Linked DNA regions of Styela clava. The protein of the gene in region 2 interacts with the protein of the main gene of each other region in a pairwise test. Links are inferred from orthologs where the notes say so. Each region holds a gene or a part of one and is shown on either strand. Other genes may lie near its edges.

Region 1 (6,729 bases), on a different chromosome or scaffold from region 2:
CGCTTTCAATTACAAGAAAAGGTTTTTAATATATAAATTCAAAATGGAAGTGTAAGTATGGCAATATGTTTTCAGTAGGATTGGCAACATGTTTTCAGTGGAATCTTCCTTTTATATTTTAATTAACGATAAGAAGATCGATCAATTTGGCAATGGCAACCATTACAAAACTATCAATATGGTGTGGCAAATAATTTTTTTCTTTTCTAGTATTTTTTTTTGTTTACTGTATAGTATACCCTAAATTTATCGCGTTTTATTCTTACTTAAATAACTTCTCAGTGGTTGTGTGTGTGTGTGGCTGGTGGGTGCATGTGAGCGTGTGTGAAATAACTTAATAATTTGAGGCGAGTAAACACGTACCACTTCTTCTTGGCAAAACCTTCCATCTTATATTTTGTAAGTTATAAACCTTATCTAAGGTTTCGTTTGCTCCCCTGATTTCATAATCAGTTTTTATTTATTTGTTTTTATCTGTCAAATGTATTGTTGTGCTGATTATGGAGTCGAAATAAATTTATTATACTTATATTCAATTTTTATGTATTCCAAGACGTTGAATGGTTTACATGAATATTTGTTAAATGTAATGTACAACTAAGACATTGCAATATCTCAATGGCAATAAGCATTTATGCAATATTGCATTCACTACATTGCGTTTGTAAAAAAAAACAATCGAAATCCTGTTTTAGGGTCCTGGTTCTCGTTGGTACTAGGCATCATTTGAAAATAGTTGGTAGGTATGGTTCAGCAAATGGCAATATTTACACAATCATATGAAGCAAAATAAGGATGAACTTTCCTGATTTTGCACTAGCGCTTGACTTGTTACTGTTAGTATACAAAAGTTCATGGTACAACCTCCACAAATGTTCAACCCAAACAAGCACAACAATACTAATCCAACATTGTGGATTTGTCAACAATCATATTTCACATAAAAGGTGTCAATACTTTTATAATACAATGCATACGAAGAAATTTATGAGATACTCGCACAATTGCAATATACCAATCTCCACAATGGTCTCATATTTAGCAGAAGCATATAACTAGGTTAGACAATCTAACCAATAGATGGAAAGCTGAACAAACCTCCAGTTTTAGCTTCCATCGCATTGTTGGATTAACATGCATAACTGAGGAAAGAAAGTTGAAGCAGTTAACATGAAGGTATTTCATACAAATCTCCCAGCAATTGCAATGACTTTAGAAATTTGTACTCTCTGCTTTGCAGATTGAATTCCTCTAAGAAAAGATGGCACTGGGACTGTAATTCTTGTGCCATCTGGAGTACCATCATCATTTATTAAAATTACATTATTAGAATCCATTCTGGCTTTCATGGGGCCCATTGATCTCTTTTGACCAATAATAAGTGCTCTTTTCATCAGTCCTCCTATTGCTAAAAGTACAGTGTCACCCACCCTTCCATATCCAGTTTTATGGTAGACTTGTATCACTCGGGGATAACGATAATAGCTCTGCAATGCAAGTGCACTATTGTCAGTTACCCTTACCCGGGTAAGTTTTTGAAAAGCTTTCCTCTGCATAGCCTTCGTTTGCCGATGTCTGTCTCTAACATTGCCTGGGTGATGTTTTTCTCCGAAATTCACATTTTCATAAAATGTTTGATTGTCATAATGTGCAGCATTTGGTGCCTTTACATTGCAGCATGTGTAGAATCCCCTGTTGAAATTTTTTACATGATAAAAATATTTCATAGAAAATAAAGAGGTGAGCCAAAAAATAATCTATTGCCTTGACAGATAAAATAACCACCAATAATCATTTTTTTCCTGTGATTTTGAATTTTAACATAATAAAAATTCATTTTACCTCACTGCATTAATTGAAGGGTTGAAGTATCTAAGAATGCTTTGCATCTTTTAATCCACAGGATTTTAACTTGTATCTGAAGACATCCAATAGTATTATGCTTGTTTAAACCTACCAATGAAATAAGTTGGTATGAGAAATCAGGATAGAAACCGAGGGTTAGCAGAGGTCACGATGAGCCAACCACTGAGCTAAGAAATAATCAAAACTGATCACAGAATCAGGTGAGCAAACAAAACTTGGGGTCTGGTATAGTTTAGTACCACATACCCTTCTAATTGGCCTGGCTTAACAATTTTTGCATATGTCATTTCTAACCCTCACATGACTATGTCACCGAAAAATTATGCCATTGCGACATCACAGTTACATAATAAGGCCCACCAAAGTAAGCGGATGATCGTCCAAAACGCGCAGAAAGATCACCGGCGCTAGCGAGTTTGTTATCGGCTGCGCAGATGACATATCGGGCGATCGTAATGATACTTTGGCAAGCACGATGACGTGAAGGTGACGTAATTTTTGCTACAGGAGTGGTGACTCCACTACGCCCCATGGGCCGGGGCCACGGCCCATCTAATTGGGCCACATGGGCCGTGGCCCATCAAGCTATGGGCCGTGGCCCCGTCAGGAAAAATTCAATTATCTTACCAAAATTTTCAATTTCTACAAAATTGTCAATATTCGAACCAAAAAATAAACTCCTGTAGTATGTGTACCAGGTTAGGGTTAGGGCAAAATTTTGTTCAGATTTTTTACATTATAGTTCTATTATGAGTTTGGGGACTGTCTGTGTTAGCCAAGTGAATAGTTCCTTTACACAACTTGATGGGCCACGGCCCATAGCCTGATGGGCCTAGGCCCAATTTGATGGGCCGTGGCCCCGGCCCATGGGCCGAAGAGGAGTCACCACTTCCACTCAATTTTTGGATGGCCTAGTCAGGTGAGGGGTTAGTAATAACATATGCAAAATTCGTTATGCTACGCCTACTGGAAGTACTTGCGGTACTAAACTATACTAGACCCCAAAACCTCATGTACTGTTTGAGACATACAGATTTAAAATTGTGAGTAAGGGGCTGTCAAAAGAAGTGATACAATGTTCCTCACCTAAAATGTGTTAAATTAATGAATACACGCACGCACAAGGCACACACACATACAATCACTAAGACATAATAACGAAATAAAAAGAGAAAAAAGATAAACATAGTAGTCTATGTTATTGCATTCAAAAACATGATGATGTCTGAGTATTAGGTGGTTACCAAACGTTAATAAAAGACCATGAAAAACAACTGTGACAGACAATGAAGGCGGCAGTCCAGTAAAAAAATAAAAAGTTTTATCAATTCTGAAATTAGACCTGTTTCAACTGATCACAATGATAAAGGCAGCATGAGAAATATGCCCCTATACAGGCACCCAACAATATTGTAAGATAAATTTGTCAAGTACAGAAGTCAGCAAGTATCGGTATCGTACCATTTGCATTTTGCACACTCAATACAATAAAATATATTTCGGAACTTTATTCTCGGCAATTTAATTACTCCAGCACTGGCAAAACATAAAATGAAGGTACCGGTACCGCAGTGATGTGTTAGTTTATGTTGCTAGTCAAGGTACTTATGAAAATTTTCACCTGGCTAATCCACCCAATTTCAGTATAAGTCAACAAGAACAATCAGTGTTGTATTCTCCCTGAGTACAACATAAATTTCAACGTGAAAATCTGGCACGGCATGACGAATTCAGCCATCCGTTTGATGATACGGCAATTTATTTTAGCTGCGTCATTACTAAATAATACGTTCTGTTGTAATTTTCGATTCGATCGGAGGCTGAGCGACTTTCGTGTTTAAAACTCTACGTTGTAGCTCAAATTACGGTTAGGTTGCGCTGCTGACTCTATACTTATAAGTTAGCTGTATAAGCATATTACTGTGAAGAACATTTAAGATTTTAAAATCTACGTTAAAATCTTAGATAGTCTAGATCTGTAATTTTTAAATCAGTTTCACATTTTCCAGATTTCAGAATCTACCGGTATTGAAATAAGCAACTTTGGTATTCAGGTAATCTATTTTATAGGCAGTGAGGTTTATTACCACCCATAGTCTGATAATGTCAATTATAGTACCGGTACCGTATGGCGAATCACGCTCATCATTAGGAATACGGTACCGGTAGCGGTACCCTTGCCATCGCACTTCTGATTAGTGTGCTTGGGTTTGTAAGCTTGAATTCCGCCCAACTATGTCAGTATGTGGAAGAGGACTGTTGTAATTCTCCATCATTGAGTCCATATGTCTAAAAACAAATAAATGGCGGACTAATCCCATATCGATTGTGACATTGTAGTCAACTTCCTCTCCCTCTGGATAAATATGTAAATCCTATTGCAAATATGGATAGGATGTAAATAATTTCATATTTTGCCTTTGAAGAATTTTTAGTTAATTCCCTACTTTTCCGTGTCAACTATTGAAAGTAAAAAATGTGGTGTTACGAATTTCTCATTGTTCGTTAGCTGTGGTGCTTATATATTAAAATTATTCTATATTAAATACTCACTTATTATTATTTTATGATTAATTATGCACGATACAGGTCAAAAATAAAAAAATGGATAGTATTGGAAAACTTCAAACCTATGGAATCAATGCACCAAAGCAGCAACATTTTTCCCCATATGCTTCAAACGGTGGTAATACATTGGCGATTTCTGGAGATGATTTTGCCATAATTGCAGCAGATACCAGGCTGAGTCAGGGTTTCTCTATACACAGCCGGGAAGAACCAAAAACTTTACAGCTAACCCCCAAAGTTGTGCTGGGAGCTGCAGGTTTTCATGGAGATAGTCTGACCCTAAAAAAGGTCATACAAAATAGAATAAAATTATATGAGCATGAGCACGGCAAGAAGCCAAGTGTCAGTGCAATAGCCGCCATGCTATCAACCATCCTTTATTACAAGCGATTCTTTCCTTACTATGTTTACAACCTGTTGGCTGGCATAGATGATGAAGGCAAAGGTTGTGTGTATTCATACGATCCGGTTGGATGTTATGAACGTGAAGCATATAGGGCAGAAGGTTCAGCTGCTGAATTGTTGCAACCTCTTCTGGACAATCAGATAGGTATGTTGTAAAGTAACATGGATATAATATAACAATGATTTTTTAACGAGTTAAAAAATGACATGATTAAATATGCTTTTTTAGGTTTCAAGAATATGGAAAATGTTCCGAAAATACCTCTTACGAAACAGAAAGGTTTACAGCTAGTAAAGGATGCTTTCATATCTGCTGCTGAACGAGATATAACGACTGGAGATAGTGTTCTTATCCATATTATTGATGCCAATGGTGTGAAGACAGAACGATTCCCTCTTAGAAGAGACTGAGTTTTTCTACCAGGACTTTCTGTGACATTATTAGCACTATCTAACAGTGCAAGATGCTCAAAAAAGTTCATTTGTCAGTAAATGTGAGCATTTCGAAGCTTGTTTGAAAAAATGCTTTGCATTTTATTACTAAATTACATTCTTGAATATAAAAGTGTATGAATGATGGGTATTACATTAGAGAAGTTTCAAAGGAATGTTTGGTGTTGCATGCATTTCAATGGTAGTCTTGACTGCCCGTCCGTGTACATTTAGAGCCAAAATATGTCAAATAGCGCCTGCTTGGGGAATTAAGAATACTATTTGCCGAGCCCACAACAGAATTTCACCTGGTCTGTAGGATCATTTTTCACACCTTTTATTACTAAATTACATTCTTGAATATAAAAGTGTATGAATGATGGGTATTACATTAGAGAAGTTTCAAAGGAATGTTTGGTGTTGCATGCATTTTGTTTAATATGCGCAGTTCCATGCATTTCAATGGTTAGTCTTGACTGCCCGTCCGTGTACATTTAGAGCCAAAATATGTCAAATAGCGCCTGCTTGGGGAATTAAGAATACTATTTACCCACAACAGAATTTCACCTGGTCTGATGTCTGCAGGATCATTTTTCACACCTCGCCAGCTACACCCAATTAATATCTCTCTGGAGAATCTATCCCCTGACTATCATGCAAGTAGGTGACCTCTGCATATAGTAATATCCAAGTTTCATGGATGAAAAATACAACAAAATTCTTGTGCTTTGTTTCAGTTTATACTGCTATCAATGCTATAGTTATGGTTTTATATGGAGCCCAAAAATAAGCAGACCCCCCTTCGGTAGGTGTATCCTCTGTGTGAAATTATTCCTGCCCTGTTGGATGAGTAATAGATTGAAAGTTTCTTGTGTTTTATTTCAGTTCATGGTGTCGAGCCCCGGAGTCCAGAATAAACAGACTTCCTGTGTTAACATCTTCAACAAGATATTTGAGTACAACAAAGACAGTGAAAAGCAGTTTAATAAAATAATGGCGATTGGCAATATGAAAAGATTCAGTCAGAATGCCTCACATGTATTCTGTAATTAGTTCATATAGTTTTGTCAACAGTTGACAGTCTTCATTTTTTGTGGTGGATACCTTCCTTTTTCACACCTGGCTTTCTCTTTGGAGGCTGCCATCTCATGAATGTTTTGTCCACAGGAATTCGTGGCCTTTTGATCAGCTGTGATTTCATATGTTCCTCAATGTGTTTTGGTGTGACACAGACAACATGTTGTCCTTTCCAATATTTTACCATGTTGAGAGACTGCAATGCAGAAATGATATCCGCTTGTGTGATACTTGTCATTTCACTCAGATCCTTGATTGATAGAGTTCCCCTGTAAACATGAATAACATAATGATCATTCTAAATATAAATAATTGTCGGCAGAATTTAAAAGGTGAAAAACTGATATAAGATGACTCAAATAAATGATAGACCATTGTCCT
Region 2 (8,427 bases):
TTTATCTTTTATACCCTATTATAGGAACTTACCATACAAATGAAATGAAAAATCATGACACAGAAGAAAATAGAAATGATGATGAACATCCCATGGTAGATGATGAAGAAGATTATGGAGGAAAAAAGAGGACTGAATACTTTATGTGATCAAATGTTTCGTTTTTTTATGTTTCATCAACTAATGCAACAACACATCCTGTCATATTTGAATTACCGTATATCCTCGCGTATAAGCTGAGTTCAAAACTAAAAAAGCCAAACTATGAGGTCGGCTGTTATCAAAATTTGGTTTATAGGCGCGGCGCATACCTCTGATCACATTCAAATGAAATGACATTTTATTAATTAATACCGCAAACTTTAAACTGAACGATATTATCATTAACAACGCCAGGCAAACAATAAAAACCGCGATAGATTCTAAATTATATTTGAGGAGCTATTTTCCGATTATGCTCGGTCACTATCGCAACTGAGGATAAAAGCGATTAATTAGACTGGCAAATTAGACTGGCCGCTTTGAGGGGGTCTGCTTGTATGAGAGATCGGCTTATATGCGGGGATATATGGTATTAAAATGGAGACCATCCTGTCTTCTTACACACTTCTGAATTTAAATATTTTCGCCTGATAATTTAAAAAGCATAGTTGTTATTTTCTTGGGTTTGCATCACTTATGATTAGTTGTAAATGTCTGAGCATATATGTTTAAAATATGTCTTTGTCATATTAAAGAAAGTTGCTGTGAAATTTCCATTATTTTCTAGAAAAATGTCATAATTTGGAGTTGTCATTTTAAAATGGAATTTAAATCAAATTCCTTATGCAAGTTTTGTCGGCTATGTGTGCTTTTATTAACTGCATGGCCATTTTTTTTTTTTGAATGCTTGCTTACGATTGCTTTTCACTTATGAAATGATGCTTTTAACACTATCATTGTTTGTACACACATGTGGGTCTTTGTAAAATTTTCTCCCCAGATAGTCTTCCTACTAAATCTGCTCAGCAGTTCAAATCGAAATCAAGTTACTAAGACATTGTATCAAGTAGCATTTTGTTGACTTGAAAATTCATAAACAACTTTTTATGATTACTTTTGAATTATAAACTATCATGAACATCATTTCATTGCTGTTTTGTGTAGCAAATGACAACAATTTAATAATTTTCACCCTATTCTTTTACTTCTAATGCACAATGCTTTGCTTTCAATTTATTTTTTCAATTATTAAATCACTATTCAATTGATTTCATCTGTAATGGTATGTAGTACATCAATCGATTTCATATAAACTTTTTCTATTTCATTCACATTTCTGTAATCTTTTAATTAATAAACACAATTGAACTATTTTATAAAGATAAGATTAAGTTAATTATACGTTAATGTATTCAATTTAACATGCATGTTAATAGGTTACCAAGAGAGAATTATAATACTGCAGGATCCCATACAAATCATGCTATTTCAAATAGGAATTTATATCTTCAAATATCATTTTGGACATTTTTATCAAATTTTTAAAATCAGATTATTGATTCTTGTCATCCGATAAATAAGTATATGTGTGATTAAGGACAGTTGATAGATTCACATTTAAACTGTATATACTTCTATTAACTATTTATTGTTCAAAGTTATTTTCTAATTTTTAAACTTGTGTGTCGCGGGCCAAATCTTTCAAGTTTCTATATGATTTTTGAACTAAAAATGTTACAAGCTCTTTAGAATGAGCTGAAGTGGTGCTGTAATTTAGTTTTTTGCTTTTTTTATTTACTTATATTTGAGCTTTTAGTTATAAATATACAATGGAAGGTAATTTTGTATCTTAAGCTTTAGATTTTGAGGTTTGAAATAGAATAAACCCCTGCTTGGCTGGCAAGCGCCTAAACTTGAAAAAAAAATAAGGTCACAAACCATTGAAACTCCAAATTCAATGTTTAAAAGTTTAAGCCATCTTTTTGAAAAACTTCTTGTTGAATTAGTCCTAAAAAATGCTTTCTATATTTTAGTGGATAGTGCTTTTTACTTTTTAGTTGTTCCTTTTATAGTAGAAGTGCTTTTTCTCCTTCGTCATGATATCATTTTGGTACGTCATCATCTGGTATCTGGTGTGAAATAAAAGGTTTTGCTAGATACCTATGTGCGTGTTTTTGTACATTTTTGAGTTATTTGTTATCCTAGATTTGTTAAAAAATGTCCCATACATTCCCCGACAAGATTTCAATGCACTAAAAAGGTAAGGTTCGTCTTTTTGATTAGATCCCTGGGTCTCGCTGCTCGATAACCAGCTTTGGTTTCTCGCGGCTTCTCTCCTAGTATTTTGTGTAAAACTTAACTTTCTTACTGGTTGTAAAAAATGAACTTGACTTGACTGTGGAAGAACCATTTACGACGTCGGAATTTGCTAAACATGTAAGAAATGTCCTCATTGTTCGAGTTTTTTTACATGCTGGTTTCGAACTTGAGATGTTTTCAAGTACAACAACCATCAACGTGTTTTATTATAAACCTGTATTCGGCTGCATTGTAATCCGCTATTACATGAGAATAATGCTCTTGAATTAGGTGCATGTCTGGTGAGTCAATACCAGATTGTAATAATAACCAAGTATTATCAACGATAAATTTTTTTTTACCTGTGCTGAAAATTAAAAAAAAAAAAACATAAGTAATGAAATGAATATAACCAGTGGTGGGATTTAGCCGGTTCGCACGGGTTCTATAGAACCGTCTCACGGAATTTTATGAGATCAGCGAACCGGCTAGCATTACTGGTTACTGTCAATGTTCTGTTTGTGTCAGAACCGGCTGAAAAATATGACTTTTGTGAAGGAACCGGCTGACAAAAAAATTTGAATCCCACCACTGATTATAACCCTCGTGATGTTCTGCGTCTCCTACTAATATGCACGGTGATACTGTTAAGTTTATCAAGTCTCCTTGTGGTTTTTTTCAACGTCCGGATTCCGATTTGTTTGCTGCCTAATGTACACGGGTTTAAAAATGTATTTATTCGTATCGTACAAATGAACAGTTCAAAGTTGTATCCAAGTAATACTGTGCTCGAGTCGATTTCTTATTGATAACTTTATCCCCATTTCGTTTTTCTTTGTCTGAATTGATGGTCATTTTATAAAAAAAAAATACGGTTCTTCTCAGCTTAGTCTTCAGCCTACCCACTTTCTGTTGTTGCCTGATTTTGACTCCCAGCAACAAACAGAAAGAAATCAGAATTCACAAGCACATAATCGATGAATCGTTACCAAATTTTGTGCGTTTATTGTTTTATGTATGTGTTTTTCGGCCGAATCAAAACAAACTTAGCCTACTTAATACTAACTTGCTCGTCATAATTCTACAATATCTTATGTATATCGCTTTTCCTCCCTGTTTAAGTTGAATACTTATTAAGCGCGACAGGAAATCTTAATTGTTCTGTCAAAACAATATGTTTTGTCCTCGGTCTATGAGCCTGTGACTCGGATGACTCACAACAGCTAATAGTTAGAGAGAGGGAGAAAATATGCAACTCAATTCGGTATAGACTGGAGGGAGCGATACGACCAGGTCATCAAAGTCAGCTCCCCCAAAAATCAACAATGAGATTCACAGTTAATGTATATAAACCATGCATCATCTGATCCGTTTGACACACAAAATATTTAGTTTCAATATATACGTTGACAATAAGACACAAATTCAAAGATTCTGGGCGTTGATTCTTGAGAAAGAATAGTATATATATACAATATACGCGAATTGTTGAATTCGGGCGTTGAAGCTTGAAAAATAAAATACAAGTGCGTGACCTCAGGCTTTAAACTTGAAGAGTTGAAGTTGAGTTCTGGTCCAGATGCCTATCTTTGTGTCAAAATTCTGTTAATTGACTAATGAACTATCGCCGAACGCCTAAATAGCTCAGTAGTAGGAAAGCTTTAGTTTGCTTTCAACTTGCCTGACAACACCGAGTTTCTGAAAAGATCAGCGGACAAGCAAAACGCAACAAAATCTAAATAAAATAAATATTATGGATAAGAATGAGAAATGGGAATTCTAACAACAAATCGATACATGCGTATGTACAATTCGTGTCCAATAAATTTAAATTAAATAATTAATAACACTAACTTGAAATTGAAATCAAAAAAGCATGATAATCTTCTAGCGACTTTTGGTAAGTATAACAACAACAACAATCATCCCACCTTCAGCATCAACAAAAACATTTAGTGTCCAATAATGATATATAGGTGCAGCGTTGTTATTGGGTCACTCGACAAATAACAAAAACTGTAAATGAAAGTAATTTTTCCACGTTTTTTTCTTTTTGAGTGCCAGTCGTCATGGAATGTTATACAGAAATTGCGCATTTTCGGGAAAATACTACACCGAATTTTAATATGATAATATTTACGATGATGTATATGTGTACAACAATAAAAACTGTTTGAGCGCGTTTGTGATAAGAGTCAAATTGAAAGCAATGATATTCACCAATTGACGCGATATATCGTTTCAAGAACTCAACTCTCGCCTTCAAATTTAAAAAACAGCTGATGCTATGCATGATCAATCAAGCGTTATGTTATGTTTGGTATAAAAACGAAAAATTTCATCGATCGTCCCCATTTGCCTGTAACCGTCTGTGCGTTCGTGTGAGGTTCTGGAGGACTCTCTCGATGTATGTGTAATAAGTTAATACAGAAAGTAAACAAAAATGGTGTCTGGGACAGAAAAAGCAGATGCTGTTGAAAGAGATGAAGTGCACGGGGCAACAAATGGTTTTGCCTCCGCAACAGATGGATTGTGCAAAACGAATGACTCGTTGTGCAATGGCGTTTCTCCTTTCGTTTCTCTAAAAAACAAAATAAACAATCGTGTGCAATCAAAAGATCCATGGTTTTCACTGGAATTTTTTCCTCCACGAACAGAAAAGGGGGCTGCAAATCTTATTGGAAGGTATGCAATTAGGTTTAAGAATACTTATAAAATAAGTTTAGTTAACTCAAAGTGGTCAATATGGTTAGATATCTCATGCCCAAACTGTACAAATAAACGTATAAAAAACCGCAGGTTGCAACATGTTTAGCTATTCATAACTTATAAGTTATTCTAACTTTAGTATATTTTAAAATTAACCACTAGTATGAATTATTAAGAAATGACTGGTCTAGTGTTTTAGTATTTTTCACTTTCTCAAGGTAATTGAGAATGAATTTTACCAAAGTTGGGAATAATTTAGGAATCAAAGTAAAAAGTAGCTTAAGTAGTATAATGGAAATTGAGCTGCAAAACATATCTTTTTTTGCTTCAATTGCCAGTATATGAATGAATTTTTTTGCAAACATGAAATTGTGTCATCTTTTCATCAGGTTGGATCGTATGAGGGACGGAAATCCTTTATTTATTGACATAACTTGGCATCCTGCTGGCGACCCCGGTGGTGATAAAATAACATCCTCAACCAAAATTGCAGGGACAATTCTAAATTATTGTGGCATTGATACAATGCTACATATGACATGTTGCAATCAAACTAGAGAAACAATCATGAAAAATCTAGAAAAAACTAAATCATTGGGAATCAGAAGCATACTAGCCTTGAGAGGAGGTAGGAAAGAATATCACTTTTTATTATTGAAAACTCTATATTGAAACTAAACATTAAACTAAATATTTAAAAAAGTACACTAATTAATTAATTAAATATTTAATTGTTACTATTTCAGATTTCTATTTCAACAAATATAGGGTTCTCTGTTCTGTTTGATTGTGAAGTGTTCCATTGTAATATTGGCGCCTTTTCACTTGCTTTATTGATATCTTCATATATTGGAGTCATATTGGTATCGTGAATAAAAAATGGCATATATGATAGTATTTGTAAAGATACTTCTGAATTTTGTTCAAGTTGATGGGGTGTACTCATAAACAAAAGAATTTTTTTTAAATAATTTGATTTTAGATCCAACAGGCGACGAATGGGAAATGAATGAAAATGGGTTGAATTATAGTTCTGATTTAGTGGAACTTATCCGTCAAGAATATGAAGATTATTTCAGCATCTGTGTTGCAGGTAAGCGAAAATTGGAATTGAAAAATAAGTTCGCAGAACGTATTATATAGATTTTACCAAAGAGTTTATCTTCCGTAAGAGTTAATAGGTATATGAACTTACATGAAAATTTCCTAATATTACACTTTTTTTAATAGTTTATTGCATTATTAGTACTAAACCTATTTTACAGACAATAAACTTTTTTATTGATAATGATAAGCAAACTAGTGTATATTATTTATTTTGTTGAACGAAAGCACCAAAGGAAACTTGAACTTTTAACCCTTTGATGTTGTATTTTGAGAATAACATTGATCATTTTATTATATAATAACATTTTGTACATAATTGTGAAATAAAGTACGAAATATTGATTTTGGCTCAGAAGTAAACTTGTCTTGTGGCTTCCATTATCAAACAAGTATATTTGTCATTCAGGTTATCCTAAAGGTCATCCGGATTGTTCATCATATAAAGACGATTTAGTCAATCTCAAGAAAAAAGTAGATGCTGGTGCAGATTTTATTATAACTCAGTTATTTTTCCAAGCTGAGGAATTCTTAAAATTTCAGTCAGATTGCAGAAAAATTGGAATTCAATGTCCTATTATCCCTGGAATTTTTCCGATTCAGGTACCGCTAATTACGTTAAAGTTGAGTAGCATAGTTTACTCAGCACACACAGTGTGTTTGTTGAAAGATAAACAAATATTTGATATTATGCAACTTTGTTGTTTAACCACACAATTCTCCATGAATTTGAATGACATCATTTTTGTCAAGTATAATTCCTTTTTTGATTATAATATTTATCGATTATGTTTTTATTAAATATGTAGGTATATATGTAAATTTAAATAATGCTAGTCATGAAATATCTAATTTTTCCAAAACGAAATTTAAAAATTGGGAGTTTCTTTGTTTGTTTCTAGTTCAAACTTTTTTCAATTGTTTATTTGTAATTGAGTTTTGGATGACACTTGTCCAGATTATAATTGAACAACTAATCTATCAAAAAGCTAAAAAATCACTCCTATTTATGTTTCGCTGATTGATTAATTTTTGTCTGTTGGATATTGTTTTGGAACTTTAATTGATAAGGGAATGCACAACAGAAAGAGTTGCATCATTTTTTCACTAATTACACGTCATATAATGATTTCCGTGAATATGGTAATTTTGCTAAATTGCAAATCCAGCTGGTGATGCCATTATTGACAGGTTTAAAGACATTTAATTTAAATAAAGTGAATAATTTCAAAATGTGTATTATGTAAAGTAATTTTGAAAGGAATATTTTTTATGAAAACACATTATCAATTCACTTAGAAAAGTACTGGAAACAAATGTTAATCTTATCTTGGAATTTGTCGCCTCAGTAAAATGTACTTCTTAGTGCAAATGAATATGATTCATTTGCACTATCTGGCACAATATTTAACACTTTATGTATCGTTTTTGTTGTGCATCAGACGAACAGATCTCTTGTTCAACTGACAAAATTATCGAAACTTGAAGTCCCTGAGGATGTGCAGAAAATTATTGAACCAATAAAAGATAATGATGCAGCTATTCGAAAGTAAGTTTATTGGGACAATTCGAAGCAAAAGCTTATGGAGCTTTCAAGAAAGTGATGGATTTTGTCACGAGAACAGTGTTGTTTTATTTTCAGAGAAATTGATTATTTTGAGTCATTTTTGTTTTGTCATTTACATTGTCTAGTTGTTTTAGAGATTTTCTCAAAGTATAATATAGACTGTTTGTCATTTTTGTAATGAATCAAATAAATAACAAAATTTCATTGGTTTTGTAGCTTCGGGATTGATTATGCTACTGACATGTGTCGTGAACTTTTGAACTCTGGAGAAGTTTTGGGTTTTCATATGTATACTCTCAACCTGGAAACTGCAACAATTAGCATTCTGGAAAATTTAGGTAAATTCTTAGATTTATTGTTTAAAATGGATGTGCAAGGCTGTGTACTATTTTTTTGTAATATAAACAATGTGAATTTAATTTTGTCATGTCATGATTTTCTTTCTTATCCAGTCCCAATCAAAATAACAATTAACAGCCCACTTTATTTTTCTTGCTTTTATATAATGCAGGGTTGTGGCAACAAAAGATATCTAGGCCATTACCTTGGAAAATATCTGGCAACCATGAACGGCAAGCCAATGAACAAGTCAGACCTATATTTTGGGGAACAAGACCAAAGAGTTATATCCATCGTACGCAGGATTGGGATGAATTTCCCAATGGACGATGGTAAGAAAAACAATGTTTTATGTTGTTATACAAAAGTGTGAAAATTCGAAGCAATTCATGATAAACATCATTGAAAAAATGAAATTTCACAAATTT

What was found.
Region 1: the proteins of methylenetetrahydrofolate reductase (NADPH)-like (region 2) and proteasome subunit beta type-1-like interact in a two-hybrid assay, tested with the Caenorhabditis elegans proteins (3 studies listed by BioGRID). The link is inferred for Styela clava from reciprocal best matches to the Caenorhabditis elegans genes mthf-1 and pbs-6.

Annotation. Positions count from the first base shown.
Region 1 is NC_135255.1:8,348,711-8,355,439, forward strand, and holds proteasome subunit beta type-1-like, read left to right. Parts: upstream 1-4,454; 5' UTR 4,455-4,470; coding exon 4,471-4,984; intron 4,985-5,068; coding exon 5,069-5,250; 3' UTR 5,251-5,404; downstream 5,405-6,729. Other genes in the region: large ribosomal subunit protein uL14m-like, read right to left, coding at 1,182-1,692, 1,843-1,889; histone acetyltransferase KAT8-like, read right to left, coding at 6,356-6,617. UniProt on the Caenorhabditis elegans protein: Non-catalytic component of the proteasome, a multicatalytic proteinase complex which is characterized by its ability to cleave peptides with Arg, Phe, Tyr, Leu, and Glu adjacent to the leaving group at neutral or slightly basic pH.
Region 2 is NC_135253.1:4,399,743-4,408,169, forward strand, and holds the start of methylenetetrahydrofolate reductase (NADPH)-like, read left to right. Parts: upstream 1-4,618; 5' UTR 4,619-4,723; coding exon 4,724-4,965; intron 4,966-5,378; coding exon 5,379-5,617; intron 5,618-5,971; coding exon 5,972-6,082; intron 6,083-6,502; coding exon 6,503-6,696; intron 6,697-7,535; coding exon 7,536-7,642; intron 7,643-7,876; coding exon 7,877-7,998; intron 7,999-8,171; coding exon 8,172-8,331; intron 8,332-8,427. Other genes in the region: cell adhesion molecule 3-like, read left to right, coding at 25-149.